2 linked regions of the Arabidopsis thaliana genome follow. The protein of the gene in region 2 interacts with the protein of the main gene of each other region in a pairwise test. Each region holds a gene or a part of one and is shown on either strand. Other genes may lie near its edges. The genes, in order: AT5G42220 and AT4G22235.

Region 1 (10,682 bases), on a different chromosome or scaffold from region 2:
GAAATTATTGAATATATATCAGACATAAAGTTGTTACTTGAATATTTTTAACTATAGAAGGCGTTAAAATTCACAATATATATATATATTATTTTAGTATAAAAATATATATTTCTTAAAAAATTATGTATATTTGTTTAATAAACTAAGTATAGACCCTTTAATCATATTAAAGAATGATATAATATAAACTAATTCTGTTTAGATCAAATTATTACATCTTATCTTTAACAAAAAATTCAATTTAACTTCAAGTTCCAACCATGGAACCTGAGATCTTTTTTTTTTTTAATTGAATTGAAAAGAATTTTCGTATTTAAATATTTGTAAAACAATGTATGTTATCTTATTAATGTTTCAAACATAATTAGGTAAGAATACTTATCTCTTTATTTTTTCTTTTGACTAACTCAAGAGAATTTTTTTTTGGATTCTTTTCCTTTTCCTCTTTCACCAAAAAGAACCTTTGAATGTATGTTTGTGTTATTATATATATAATCATCGTAAGTGCTAGAATCAGTCGTAAGAAAATTTAAGAGACTATATTAGACATGGCTATCACCAAGAAATGTTTTGCCGCATTTGTACTCATCCTCCTCTTTGTCATGCCTTTCGTTTATTGCTCGGAATTAGATAACACTTCTGGTACTATCTTATTATGAATCAACCACTTTTTTCTTATGAGTTTATATATATATTGATCTCTTGATTATTACTATAATATAGGTTTTGAAATAAAGCAAGAAGATAAATGCTACGGCCCAGAACCGTGTAAAAATGGTTACGAAGGATGCTTGTTCTTTTGTGTAAGAATAGCCTATTACTTATATGGGGAATGTACTATGAAGCCTGATCATCAAAAGCATTGTTGTTGTGTGACAAAATAATCTAATAAAATGTTGATATTTACTAAAAGCAACATAACTAGTTTTCATACGACTTTGAATATTCAAAAGATCGAGAGTGAAATGCACAAAGCATACCATAATTGAAGTTGGTTTGATTTGACACAATCGATGTTTCTCTTTTGCATCTTTTCAAATGAAGGAATTGCAACATTTATTCATTTTTCGCTCAATTTGGATGAAATACAAACGTTGCAATATCTTGGTGAACCATTTGAGATTTATTTTAGAAAATCTCGAACTTGGGTCCTAATAATAATTAAAAATTTAGTCTTTTTCACTCTAGAAAAGTCATAAGTAAGAAAAATTAGCGATGAAACAATTATTTGCAAAACTCATCACAAAAGACAGCTTGTCTTAGGAATGTTCATGATCTCCGATGTCGCTAAGTCATGGCTCGCTGATCTTGAAAATCTCTGAACCCATGATGTTTTAGTTCAATTTTGTCGTCATCCTTAATTTTTCCGGTGGTGATCAATTGTTCACAACCCTTGAATACGTAAAACCATAAAACAAATTTTAATAATCTTTTAGAAATTAAATATAAAATAAAACAATATTATTAATTTGTCATAATCCAAAATTATAAATTTGTACAACAAAACAAACACAACAACTTTGTAATTTTAAACATATTAAAAATTCATAGTAAATTTTATAATATATAATTTTTTATAAAAATTAAATAATATATAACATCTTATTATTGGGGTTGTCGTGACAGTTCATTTTTCTGAATTATTCTACTATTTATTAGTTTACATTCCATATTTATTGTGCAATCTTTATTACCTATTTGTTAAGGAATTAAACTAAATATATAATTTGCTACAGTCACTCGTTAGTGTAGCCCTTTAGCCAAATTTTCGATCAAAACCAAAATTGTCAGTTATAAAGGGACACCTTTTTCCCAAGTAATTTGGTCAATGTCGAGAGTTATGAGTAATCTCTGGTTAAAGATGGAAATATCAAATTGAATCGGCCCTTTAGAGACCAGATAAATTACGTTTGCTTATGTTTAGCAGAGTATAGACCATCCCAAACCCTAATTCTTAATACATAAGTGAGGGATCTCAGCAAATAAACAAAGATACTTCAAAGATATGACACTTACAGAACCAATTCAACCAAATATCTTATAGACCTTGATCATCTTTTAGCCGGCCTTCGATATCACGTCTTAGCAACTCCGCATATTCCTGCAACACTCAAATACAAGTCTGATCAAGGAGTCTTTATTTTTATTAAACAAACAAACTAGTCAGTTTTGATGCTTACTTGAGAAAGAGCTTCATCACAGCAAAGCTCGTTCACTAGTTCGTCTTGGCTTATCGCAGCATTTTCGACCATTGCACGGAAGACATCCTCTGGTGGATCAGAGTGCTCAATCATTTGAGCCATGGATTGAACATTTACCTATTTGGAAAAAGTAGAAAAATAACATTCATTACACGAGATAGAACAAGAGACAATGACGTTTATTGTAATACCTAGGTAAGAATGGTGTTACTTTTTCTACAACTAAAAAAAGACAACAACAAAATCCTACTCAGTCGATAATAGTATCAGTTTTTCTTCAGCCACATTTTTTTCCTAAATCAAAAACGCAAGAAATCCAAACCTAACACTCGTAGATGTACCTGAGAAGGTTGACGATCATCAGGCTGTATTGTTGCGGGATGAGGCAATGGCCCTCCTTGGCTAAAAGCACGTGAGACTAGAGGCATCATTTGTTGGACCATTCTAGAGAAATCAAAGCCGCCGCCCTCGCCTTGAGCTCCACCTGACATCATATTTTCTATCTCTTGCCCATCCACCTGTTGCGCAATCTGTTGGACTGTGTTCATGATCTGTGGATTCTGGGTAAACTGCTGGAGCATATTTCTCAGCATATTTGGTGAATCAACACCAGCTTGTCGAGATACCCCTGCTAGCAATCCATCCAATACAGGGCTCTCCAGGACCTGAGACATTGCACTTGAGACATCTACACGATCATCTGAACCTTGCCCGCGTCTAAGACCAGTCTCATCTGAACGAGAACTACCAGAAAAGAGAGATTGCAAAAGCTGCTGACCACTGGTCCCACTGCTTTGTTGCACACCTTCAAGTGTAGCTGAAGTCCCGCTATCTTCAGTCTTACCTGATACCTTCGGCTGCTTGCTTCGTTTCTTTAACCAAAAAAAACATACTATGACTGTAAGCATTTGGAACTATGACACTTGTGGATATGCTATGCAATGAAAAACAAGCAGCAGCAACTTGACGCTTATTTTTCAACTGATTCATTACCTTACGGTCTAAACCGCCAAGCCCCAATCCAAGTGGTGTAGCTGTAGCTACCTCTGGAGTAGCCTTATTGGTTTCTTTGGCATCACCGGTAGCATCTCCAGACGGAGCTGATGATTGTCCTGTAGTACAAGAGGTATCTTTTGCTCGGGCTGGATGCTCTAAATCTCCACCAAGATCTTTTTCATTTTGACACTGGTTGAAAAAACAAAAATTAGTGGTAGGCTAACCCTGGTGAACATAAAATAAAGAATCATCTGATTGCAGAGAAGACATACCACTGAGTTGCTCCTCTCAGATGGTAAGTCATGCAGTGAGCCACTAGACGACTCAGGTGCGCAAGTAGTTGCAATGTTGGTAGGCTGCTCAGGCATAGCAGTGGCAACACCATGGCCCGTAGACATATCCCTCTCGAGAGATTCTATTCCTGATTGACACGTGAAGAAGAGCTTGAAAACATTTCGTCCACAATGTAAAACTTTAGTCAGCAGGAAACCTACCCGATGGAATCTGGTCTCTTCCTTGCATAATGTTTACCATATCTCTTATCCTTGCATTGATTTGAGCAACTGAAACATCATCACCCAAACCAGGTTGAACCCCAGCAGAAACGTTCTCACCGGTAGAGTGTGATGGAACAGCCGCAGGAACTGAACTTGTATTGCTGTCACGGTCTCCTTGTCCTCCTTCTCCATTGCTTCGCTGGTTCCCAACTGATGACAACATAGGTGAACCTGATGTGCCTGGTAATTAAGTATGAATTTTAATGGAGAAGAATTGTGCAGCTAAGTCCAATAGCAAAAAAGTGAACTTCACCCACCAGCATGTATGTGAATATTAATGTGCCTTTGGGCAGTTCCTAAACCAACAGGTCCGGTTAGTGGATTTGATGAGACAGTAGCACCAGTAAAGAGAGGGCTGATTTGGTGAGGAAAAGGCTGCAAAATACAGTAATAATTACATAAAAGTAGAAAATTAATTTAGAAAAAAGATGAGACTAGAAGCTTACCTGAACCATAATAGGATTCGGTCCTGATGGAGATATATACACAGCAGGCCCTGCATTCACATAGGATAATTCCTGTAGATCAAAGTGTTAATGAGCCGCATGTCAAGAATGAATAGGAAAATGCACGAAAGGAATGACCCAAAACGCACCGGCGACGGTGCCATTCTCAATGTCAAAATTGTGCGTCCAAGCTCCAGTAGGAGGGCCCCTAAATGTTGCATGGCAAGACCTACTTGCACGGCCTCTGTCTGGATTTGTGACCTTAGAGTAGGATCTGAAGATGAACCATCTTGCTCCAGACGTCCCGCAATATGCTACAACAATGTTTTTGCAAATTACAAACAGCACATAATTAGATGACAATGCATGGTAACCATATACATAACAGTTCTTGTAAAGAGAAAGAATGGAATCAATTAATAAGCAGTGTGAAGAAGGTGTTTACCGATAAAGAAGAGACACCGAGACCACTCAGTAAATGTTGTGCATTCCTTAGGACAACAGAGAGTGCTTCAGGTGTTGCTGCACCTCGTCTATTTCTAGGCAACTCTTCCCTTGGTCGCCCTCCGGATCCAGCAGAAGAGGTATCTGGCTGATAGCCTGGAGGAACATCCAATTAACTTATTTATGTGTTCTCTATCCAATATGACAATAAAACTTAGATCACAATACCATTTTGTGATAATGCCTGCTCCATCCGATTAATGAACTCCATTAGAGTGTCTAAGGAATCCGGAATAGGCTGCAGAATTAGAGAGTTACATTGTAAAATGACAAGATTAAAGCTCTAGTCTCAAGATCAAAATACTACTACGTGACTAAGAACTACCGTTAAGAATGAAGGGATAGGAATCGTTGTGGCTGCTGTAACAGGAATCTGAACTACACGAGGCATCGATGTTTGAAATGATACACCAGGAAATGCTTGCCTAGGTTGTGAATGACCCGTAGCTTGGCTTTGACCACCAATGCCAGGCTCTCCATCAGATGTATTTCCAGGAGGTGCATTAGACGACTGATTCGACTAGGAAAAATAAAAGCGCATGCAACATCGAGTTTAGAAACAGGCAATAGTTGATGACAATATGAAACCTTACACATCAAATAGTAACAACACCTGATTCTCAACAATCCTTAATGTAGACTAAGCACTAATATGGAATAAATTCGAAATAGAGAGTGACGAGAAAAAAACTCACGGGCATAGAGGATTGCGTGCCATTAGTACTGTGATTTGTAGGAAGCTGTCCACTAACTCCAAAAGAATTTAGAACTGCTCCAATGACCTTAGTAGTTAGCAACACAAAATTAAAAGCAGGTTAGCCTAACTAATCAAACCATCCCATAGGCCAAACAATATCACAAATCCTTGGGGATTACCCGGCTGAGGTCTGGAACAATGCCTTCTGTCTGATCTCCAACATTAAAAGACCCAAGAACTACGCTGTGGGAGACATGTCTTCCATTTCGAGATGGTCCACCATTTGTATTATTTCCTGTTGAATTAAATAACAAGTTGAAATAAGATGATGGTTGTGTTAACAGCTCTTTTAAAACTCAGAAAGGGGATAAAAAATAACTTGATTACCATCATTTGCAGTTGCCCCTTGTGAAGGTGTACCAGAGGAAGGAGCTGATTCTGCTGGCTGCCTCACAATCAAGTGTAAAGTATGCCCATTTTCCAAATCTATGACGATGTCAAGTTATCAACTATACTGAAAGTAGAAAAGCGATGGAAGGAAACGACAGACATAAACTAAAACTAAGCTTATCGAAGGTATATATATATATATAGTTCTCTTTCTGGATTACAGCTTCCTCTACGGTGTAAGACTCACAAAAGCAGAGATGCACTTGATCAATCAAAAACTAGACTTCCGACAGATTTGGTTAACATGCATTTTATACACAGGGCACATGGCATAATGCAACAAACAGCTACACTATAACATAAAATCAACAAGTTAACAAAGTCGCTAGCACTAGGATACGATACTCCGAGAGAGGATGATCATCTTTCAAAACCCGTCCTCGGAAAATGAGCCGCTGCTGACCAACCGGCACCCCTGTCTCACTAGCAATCTTCTCCTTGAATAGCAAAACAGTTTCCTGCAACAAGTCAAGCCCTAAGCAGTATCAGATATAAGCAAACTAAACTTAAGCAAATATGCAGGTGAAGCAGAAGAAGAAGAAGATTTCTTACATTCTTGTTCACTTGGAAAGTATACGTCCGCGAGTCTAACGTTTTGATGTTAAGCTCAAGGGTTGATTCTGGAGTTTTCTCCGACGCATTGGTGCTACTAGAGCACTGGTTAATGGGTTGATCTTCCATGAACCCTAAAGTATTAAAATTTAAAAAACATAAAGCTTGTAAATTCATCTTACAAAAGAATGATCTCATAATAAACAATATTATCTCTAGGGTACTCAAATCAAAACCTTTACCACACACATTTCCAGATATTGATCATACAAAACAGAATCAACAATGAGACACAAACAAATGACATAACTAAATGCTAGTCATTGTAACAAAAGACCAAATCCTATATATATGCAAGTCATTGTAATAAAAATGCTAAAAATCAAAAACTTTCACCATCCAAAGCCACAAACAAAAGACCCAGACCCAAATAAATGCAAGTCATTGTAATATCACTGTTCAAAAATCAAAACTTTCACCGTCCAAACCCAAAAACAAATCTGCTAAGGCAAAAACAGAGCCTATAGATACGGAAAAAAAGGATCAAGATTTAAGAAAAAAACAATCAAATTCCATGAAGGCAACGAAGAACGAACCTATTTGCCGTCGTGGGGTATTGAAAAATTGAAACTTTGGCGGAACAAAAGACTCTCCGATTGAAATCTAGAGAAGTATCTCAAAGTTGAAACACGAAACCAAACCTGATGTGTTCAGAGTTAAAGGGGAAGAACAAGGGCGATTGTGTCGGGAACTCGGGATTTTGGTGAAATTGAAAAGAAAAAGAAGAATCTAGAGGAGGAAGATACAACGACGACGTTTTGAAAACCTGAATTGACGCTTCCGCGAATATAGGCCTAGTCTCCGCTCTAAATGTGGACTCTTCTATTAATAATATAAAGCTGGGCCTGGCCTTTTTAACCATATCTAAAATAAATTTTAAACATGTGCTTCTTTTTCTGTTTTATTATGTAATTTTGATTTCTAATATTTAAGTATTTAAGTTTACACATAACTGGATTAATCATGAAGATTATGGTTTACATATAACTGAAACGAATCTATGTTATTGTTGTCGTTAATAATGGTTATTATTTTATTATTTTTTGTCATCAAATTATATTAATGTTCAAATGAGTCAACTTTAGAAAAAATTGTTTACATATATGAAGCGATTCAGTACGAATTTTTCGTGCCAAAGTATTCGTTCTAACATTTGCAGTATAAGAGATTAGAGATAGAAACAAGCTTGAGATTTTTTTATTGTCACTCAGGCAAATCTTTCAAAATTGTAGAATACACCGGCCATTAGGTTAGGGAAAACACTATATTCATTAGGTTTGAACAGTCTGTGAAAAACACTACATGTTGGTTATGTGTCGAAAGATCATTTAAAGTTTAGTCTGACAATTTTGCGGCAGTGTATATGCAAACAACAACAAAAGTAGAACAATCAAAGCATATAGACATAGAGTGTCATATTGTGTGAGAAAGGATTCAAGATGATGTGGTTTCAGTTAAGCATATAGGTAGAAATTTCATGAAAGCGGATCCGTTAACTAAAGGTATTCCACCTAAAGTTTAGTCCACATTATTAGTTAAAATACAAAAACAACTAGATTTTAACCTGTGGTATACCGCGGGAACAATTTATTTTTTAAAGTTAGTATATATAAAAGTTTACAAATTGTATCTATCTATAAAATAATTTTATTTTATAGTTTACAAATGTTATTAAGTATCGTCCTGTCAAACCCGTCCTGTAAAAAAAAAACTATTTATTTTATTAATGTTGATCTTATTTATGATATGTTTATGAATCATTGTCTAAATATTTTGTAATTTTGTAGTAATTAAATGCTATCAGATTATATCTCTGCGCTTTGATGATTATAATCGAATTGTTATAGTTATGGAGAAAATCAATATCAAAAATGATAATTTTGTAGTAATTAAATGATATTAAATATTTTGGAAGTATTATTTTAGTAAATAATCGTGTAGTTAATGTGGAGATATTTTGGGAAGATTGTTAAATGTCAAATATTTAATTCGAATATTTTCTTTTTAATTATCAAAAACAAACATTAAAATCCAGTGGCAGCCATTGTAAATAAGTCACAACTAAAGGATTTATTTCACAAAATGGCTGCAAAAATGTATATATAGATTATAATAAAACATGTTTCAATTATGTCTATATATACAAAAATAATTATGATGTATATAAATAAATTTAATGATACAAATATTGGAGCTATTTTGTTGCTTTAGACAACTAAACTAACTTTGAACTCAAAAAAAGAAAGAAGATATCTAAATTAACTGAAACGGCCATTAAATATGGTGTTTCCCCTAGGAGTTATTGACTAACCTATACAAGCTATTGGTGTCTTGCTGACTTTAGATATCATAAACCCGTACACAATATGGGTTAAAAAAAAACATCAAGGATTCGACCAATGCAATTAAAACCTGTATATTATCTTTCACTACGAAATCCATATGGTTTTGAGGAAACTGTGTTATGGAGATCCCATAACTGATATTGGTGTTGCTGCTCTGATCATCAGGCTTTGGATGAAAGCTATAGTCTACAAAGAAAAACAAAGTAACGGACATTATATATATTATTTTTCTTAGTAATCGAACAACTCATATAACTTTGAGGAATCAATTAAAAGGTTTATATGTTTCACATACATTGTCATATAACTAAATGTTAAACCAAAAAAAAAAGAACTGAATGAGTTAGTGATTTTTCATGGGAAATTAGATAAGATTTAAAGTTTCCTTTTTGCACAACCAACAACAGCATTCGTTGTGAATTAGATAAGAGTATGAAAACTAAGAAAGTAAAAACTAATTAAAAGGATAACGTTCCTTTCTTGGTTTAACCGGACATTTATTTGTATAGTTTCATGGAGGCTAACTTGAGTGAATTTCAGTAGAAAATGCAAAAACATAAAGTATATTACCATGGCAAATCCCGCACACATTATACTGAACCCTGGGAAATTAAATGGGGCTCTTTCAGACAGAAACCAATCTAAGAAAAATAAAAATACTAGTGTTAGTAGCAAGTTATTTGCATTTCTATCTACAGAAGTTTTTGAAATAGCATTATTAAACAATGCTTATGTAAATAGTGATGAAACCTGTTAGAGGTGAAAATGCTAGCGGGGAAATGACATTTGCAAGGGAACATATGCTTGAAATAATTCCTTGGGCTTTCCCCTGAAAATATTACCGAGAGTTAGAGTTTGCATTGACCGATTAACCAAATTGATAAAAGTCAAAACCAGTCTCGCACAAATTAAATAATAACGTTCGATTTCATGTAAAAATAACATTATTTCTCATGTAAGCCACTAATCCTACTCCTTTTTTCTTTCTTTGAAATAATTTATTCTTCTGTCCATTTTATACAAGAAGTATTTATGGTATAATAAAATGAATGGAATTTGTTATAAGTCAAGACTTAGTTACCTGTTCATATGATGCTACTTGTTTGGAGACAATGCTTCGCATCTGTAAATTAAATTTGAATTGTTGAATTACAATACATTTCAATATATAATTAAAGTATAAACTCGAATAAAAAATATCTAATATGTGTTGACAAAAAAAAAAAAAAATCTATATATATAATATGTAAACTTACACACGATGAAGGAAATATTGAGAAAAGTGCAAATATGGCTGCCATATATGGAACCTGTGAGTTTTAAATTATCTTTAGCCAATAATCGATCTCACAAATCTTCACTAAAGAGGCAATTCTTATTAACGCCAAAAGATATTGCAAAGAAAATGAACTATCCAACATGAAAAAAAAAAAGAAAAAAGGAAATGAAGAAAAATTTCTTAAAAGGATATAATTAATACCCATGAGGACCATGCCACACATAGTAGGAACATCTGCAAAATTAAGATTGCAACATATAAGAAAATGTTCATGTGTAGTCAAATTTAAGGGCTCATTATTAAGCTCGTTCACCTAAAACTATATTGGAGGATGTTGTCTTTATGGTGCAAGAAAAGAACCATACGAAATACAAAGTTTAGAGAACAACATAATAAGTACGAGACAAACTAAAAGACGGTTCTTACATGGGCACAACCAAAGAAAAGACCAATTGAGAGCAGTCTCTCCTCTTTTAAAGCAGGAACTAGAACGGGCATAAAGAGCAACTGTGAAATAACATTTCTTTGTAAGTTAAACAATGTGAAAAAGACCAATCTTTCAAAAGTCTGCATCTTAATTATTACCTGTGAA
Region 2 (5,593 bases):
TTGAATCCTTGAACTTGGTCAAAATATATGTCTCTCTCTTGTCGTTGTGTTAAGTGAGACAAATATATAGTGTGGTTGTAGGTTTACTTCTTAATCGTTGTTATTAACTCGATGATAAGGAATATAATGTTTTTAACTACTACAGAACATCTCGTCTATGGCCTATGAAATGTGTCTCAGATTTTCACAAAATTCAAGTGTTTTAGAATTTCATTCTCTTCTGTTTGATTTAGAAAGTAAACTATGTACCGATGCAAGAGTTACATGAGAATTATCCCGGCAACGTCGGGTCTTTCGATAAGAATCGAGATGATGACTGTCATTTTGTTGTCTAATTGGTTCACTCTGTGCTTGATGCCTATCATTTTTTTTTTGAGGGACTCAGTCACTGGAAATGGTTCTATTAGTATGGTATGGGATACTTGTTAGTATAGTACTCGAGGTTTCTAGCATATGCCATAGAGTTTCTCAATATCTGAAGCCCTATTTTGAATGTGTTTGTTCTTTCTGTAATTTATTTAGAGACCATCAGGTAAAGGAAAAACTCAATTCAGACAAGAACATAAGAAACCTAAATTGACCAAATTTCTCATATAACTGAAAGTTTGAAACTGTGTTTTGTTATGTACAGTTTGGTGGAGGGTTTGATGCGGAGAGCATGAATCAGAGCCAAAACTGAAAGTGGAGGAGACAATAATAATGATAACAATGAAGAATAATCTGTAAACTGAGTTTTATTACTTTCTTTTTCTTCTATGTCTCTCTTTATCATTGTAGCACATATTTGCTATATAGGATTTGAATGGTTGCAACGGTTAAGGCGGACAAATTCGTTTGCGGTTTGAACTGTTTTTTATTTATCATTCATATTTGTATAGGTGCGAATTTAAAAAAGAAAAAAAAAACCACTGCAGATTAACTACGGACTGTTTTTACATACAAATATAATTAGTTCGTAACGGTTTATTGCCCATTTTAAAAATAGAGCGGACTAAATCGCTGACGTATTTGTCCGCTCTAACTACCGTTAGTAATAATATAGTTTGTTGTCAAAAATACATTCTTTTGTTTAGGTTTGCAGATGATTTTTTTTATTTTCTATTACTATATTTTAGTCTTTTAGATGATAAATTCGCAATAAATTTGTAATCTGCCAAACTACTGAAAAAAGAGAAAATAATTGTGGTTTGTCTTAAAAGTCACTTGTTTTAAGACATATCATGTGCAGCCATGCAAAGTGTATCTCCCGAATCTTCTTCACTCATTAATGTTTTACAGTATTTTTATAAATTTTATCATGTTAAGTACAAAATAAAAATAAGAATGGTCCATTAGAATTACAGCATATAACAACAAGGACTAGTTCTCTTTTGTAATTTTGTAATTTTATGCAAACGTATAAAAGAAAAATAATCGTGTTTTATTTTTGGAAAGGAATTAAGTATTTCTGCCACCACCTAACAAACAGGGTCCATTTCTTGGGTCTAAAACTTTTCACGGTCAAACAAGATATACATTGATTACTATTATTGTATTCGTATTATCTAAAACACTATCATAATAATAGTAACTTTCATCATCCGACCTTCTTCGTATAATAATTTAAATAAATTTATGGATCTAAGACTAAGATGACAACCACTAAAAAAAGCAACTATAGTCCATATATATCAGACTACTTTTGGCATTTTATCAGTATATGACACCTAAAAATTACAAAAATTATAACGAACACAAACGTAACACAATACATGTCTACATCATTACGTATTTGTGTTTGAATTTTTTTTTATAAAAAAAAAACTGAAAAAGTTTAAAGTGAAGGAACAAAGAAACAAAACAACGACACAATTTAGACAGCTAGTTTTATTGCAAAAGCCAAAGCTTTATTTTGATACCCCCAAAGTAGAAGGCAAACACTCAAACATGGATGTGAGATGAAATCATAAACATGCAAATAGCAAAACACACAGACACACAAATTAAGTGACGTCGTTTTCTATCATCTGCAATCACATGCTTTCCTTTTCAGCACCGCTCTTTGCAGCATCATAATCACGGCAGCACCAACATATCCCTTGACCACCACCAACATTTAAGCATTCGCCTCCATGATACTTGCTGTCCACTGCCCTGCATGGTACATCGCAAGTAGAGATCGTGTCCGCGAGTCTACATAAACCCTTTCGTAAGTCACACTTTCCCCATCCATTCACTTCTGTATGATCCATACAAAGAGACAATATTTCATAAACATGTATTTATTTTAGATCTTTGGATCAAAATATTTTGGTCTTTTTTACGTACCTATAGGAGATATGAGGAGGATGGAGAGACAAACGACTATTGCAAATGTGCTCAGCTTTAAGCTCCCCATTACTTGCTGATCTCTTAGTTCTTCTTAGCTTCTTTCTTTTTTAGCAATAGTTAGTTGGGAGAGAGCTTAACCAAACATGCAATTTTATTGTATTCTATATGTAAACTCGCACGCTAGCAACTGCGACCCGTAATATACGGTTAGCGACTTCGATCAGATTTTACTATATATTGTTCGTTTTACTATTGCTGTAACTGGTCGTCGTTTAGGTTGTTCGTTTTACTGTCGTGTGACTAGCTGTTACGACTTCATTGACATATGTTTTCTTAAATCAAATTCTTAAAATTTATATATAGTTGTAAATTGTATAACTAATTTCACTCCGATCCGGTTCCCGAGAAGATTTTCAAATCTCAGATCTGGATGCATGGAGGAGATATTTTAAAAATAGTTGGATTATTATACTTCTTTGTAAGTCGTTCCATTCACTATTTCCTTTTAGATGCGATCAGATATTTATTATACCAACTCGAATTGTATATTACTATATTATGACAGCTAAAAAAACGTTAAACACGTATTTTGTTTAGTCAACTTTTAGATAGTAATCAACAATGCCAAAAAAAGTGGTAAATGCTAAATAAAATCAATTAGCTAAATAGAAAAACTATAGTTAATAAACTAGCTAACTACATCTACATATTGTTCTAAATTGGTGAATAAGTGTCTATACCGACGGACAAGTGTGTTTTCTCAACACATCTATTAAACTTTGTTAGGAACAAGTATTTATCAGTTTCTCCCTTAATTCAATTCTTATTTGTATAAATCATAAGACGGATAATTTAACATTTGCAAGAATTAATGTACTCGTATAAAATTCTTTTTGTTGATTTTTTCCCCTCCGATTTAGATTTCAATTAGACAAAAATAAAAAAAATAAAAAAATATGATGAATAGGTCAGGTCATAATCGGAAAACAATCCAACTTTATTTAAGACTTGACAATTCAAAACAAACAGATCTGTAGAAGGCAAACACTCAAATATAGATTTTGAGCTGAAATCATTAACATGCAAATCGCAAAACACAGACACAAAGTGACGTCGTTTTGTATCATTTGCAAATCACATGCTTTCCTTTTCAGCACCACGCTGTACATCACGGCAGCAAACACATAACCCCATACCAGTAATACCACCAACAGGTATGCATCGGCCTCCAATAAACTTGCTGTCCAATTGCTTGCATGGTTCAATACAAGTAGAGCTCTTCTCATAACTATTACATTCACCTTTATCGTAGTCACACACTTGCCTCCCATCTACTTCTGTCCAATCAATAGGAAGATACTACATTTTATAAACATGTTTTATTTTAGATCTTGGGATCAAAGACTTTGGTTTTTTTTACGTACCTGTAGGAGATATGAGGAGAATGGAGAGACAAACGACTACTGCAATAGCGACTGTGCTCAACCTTAAGCTCCCCATTAATTGCTTATTAGTTCTTAGCTTCTTTCTTTCTATTTTGTTTCCCTCTCTCTCTTTGTGATTGATTCATTTAGGCAAAAGGCGAGTTTTTAATTTATAGCTAGCACTGGACAAGTCGTTGGGATTAAAATGACGTAAGATATATGATTTTAAGACAAATCATTTTAAATAGTTAACTGAATACACCCCCGACTCTTATTGTAGATGATCAATACTATTGTATTGTGTAGATAAAGATAGATATTTAGAATCTTTCGTTTGATTTCTTCATTAAATTAGTCAACTTTTAGATACTAATCAACAATGCCAAAGAAAGTGGTAGATGCTAAATCAACGGAGACCAAGCGCTCATCATCATCATTGATTCATTTTTCCTTCAATCATATTTGTTTGTTTGTTTTTGCTTTTTATTAGTATATCTGAAACCTTTGTCCAAAAAAAAATATTATATCTGAAACCAATTGCATGCATAATGAAACTTAAATTTTTGTTTGTTTCTCGGTACCACATGTTTCACGGTATAGATGCATAATGAACTCGTGTCTTAAAATAACTTTATATTTACGAATCTATATGTACTACTTTAAAAAATACATATTAATATATTTTAAAATCCATATTTCTCAATCCTCAACTTAATTTGCTATCTAACTCGCTTCACGAGAAGCTTTCCAAATCTCAGATCTATTACTTGATCTTGCTTCCAATCCGTTCCGGTGGTGCCGTCTAAAAATAACAGACAAATATATTTGTTAATGTTGCAAAACGACTTTTCAAATGATCAAGATCAACCATTAACCAAATATATGTTTACCATAGGACAATGCACAGTCGTAGATGGCTCCTCACAACTTATCTAGACGAAGACATTCGCCTATAATGTTGTTATAGCCTATAACTTATAGGTTTAATTGTTATGATTAACTATACGTTAATGAATTAAGGTTAATTTTAAATAGACTGTTTCATCACTTGAAATTTGAGAACTTTCTATACACATACTAAATCATCATGACTATTGTTTGCGTAAAAGAAGTATGTTCCGATTCAATTGTAAACTTGAAAAGTACGATTTATGAGCGATAGGTCTTATAAACTATAACATTTGAAGGATATCAAAAATATAATTGAAAAGAAAAAGTCAACTTATCAAAATCTCAATCTAAAGTTTAGGTTAGCGTCTCAAGTTAGCTAATACTAAAAGAAAAAATCAAAGGAAAAAAAGAAAAGAAAAAAGAAATAGCAAATATCTCAGAACCATCTAAACCGTCCACGTGTCCCCTCGCTTATCTCTCTGTCTGAAACCAAACCGACTTCTTCTCACAACCCTTAAAGGAAAAGTCCGATCTCATTTCTCATTACCAAAATCAGCGGAGCAAAAGTTACTTCCGAAACCCTAAAAAAAACACGATGATGCTCAAGCAAGCTGCGAAGAAGGCCCTAGGGCTTACGTCACGTCAATCAACACCGTGGTCTGTTGGTATCCTCCGAACCTACCATGAGAACGTCATCGACCACTACGATAATCCCCGCAACGTTGGGTCTTTCGATAAGAATGATCCCAACGTTGGTACGGGACTCGTAGGAGCTCCCGCTTGTGGTGATGTGATGAAGCTTCAAATCAAGGTCGATGAGAAGACTGGTCAAATCGTTGATGCTCGCTTTAAGACTTTTGGTTGTGGTTCAGCCATCGCTTCTTCATCTGTTGGTATGTTTATATTCTAATTTCGTGTTTTGTTCGATTGAGGATTGAATTAGAGAAATTAAATGATTTCAATTAGGG

Evidence for each region.
Region 1: the proteins of AT4G22235 (region 2) and AT5G42220 interact in a two-hybrid assay, tested with the Arabidopsis thaliana proteins (one large-scale study listed by BioGRID).

The regions. Positions count from the first base shown.
Region 1 is NC_003076.8:16,868,815-16,879,496, reverse strand, and holds AT5G42220 (Ubiquitin-like superfamily protein), read right to left. Parts: upstream 7,260-10,682; 5' UTR 7,003-7,259; intron 6,541-7,002; 5' UTR 6,536-6,540; coding exon 6,407-6,535; intron 6,313-6,406; coding exon 6,195-6,312; intron 5,891-6,194; coding exon 5,792-5,890; intron 5,700-5,791; coding exon 5,584-5,699; intron 5,490-5,583; coding exon 5,403-5,489; intron 5,228-5,402; coding exon 5,033-5,227; intron 4,946-5,032; coding exon 4,876-4,945; intron 4,804-4,875; coding exon 4,649-4,803; intron 4,518-4,648; coding exon 4,353-4,517; intron 4,276-4,352; coding exon 4,204-4,275; intron 4,133-4,203; coding exon 4,015-4,132; intron 3,938-4,014; coding exon 3,695-3,937; intron 3,622-3,694; coding exon 3,473-3,621; intron 3,390-3,472; coding exon 3,198-3,389; intron 3,077-3,197; coding exon 2,546-3,076; intron 2,322-2,545; coding exon 2,184-2,321; intron 2,105-2,183; coding exon 2,042-2,104; 3' UTR 2,020-2,041; exon of another isoform or gene 1,765-2,019; intron 1,396-1,764; and 2 more. Other genes in the region: AT5G42223 (Defensin-like (DEFL) family protein), read left to right, coding at 552-645, 727-887; AT5G42210 (Major facilitator superfamily protein), read right to left, coding at 8,929-8,997, 9,382-9,452, 9,562-9,640, 9,893-9,934, 10,068-10,121, 10,292-10,324, 10,517-10,597, 10,676-10,682.
Region 2 is NC_003075.7:11,760,509-11,766,101, reverse strand, and holds AT4G22235 (defensin-like protein), read right to left. Parts: upstream 2,478-5,593; 5' UTR 2,378-2,477; coding exon 2,308-2,377; exon of another isoform or gene 2,219-2,307; coding exon 2,013-2,218; 3' UTR 1,774-2,012; downstream 1-1,773. Other genes in the region: AT4G22240 (Plastid-lipid associated protein PAP / fibrillin family protein), read left to right, coding at 1-12; AT4G22230 (defensin-like protein), read right to left, coding at 3,445-3,647, 3,735-3,810; ISU1 (SufE/NifU family protein), read left to right, coding at 5,221-5,518.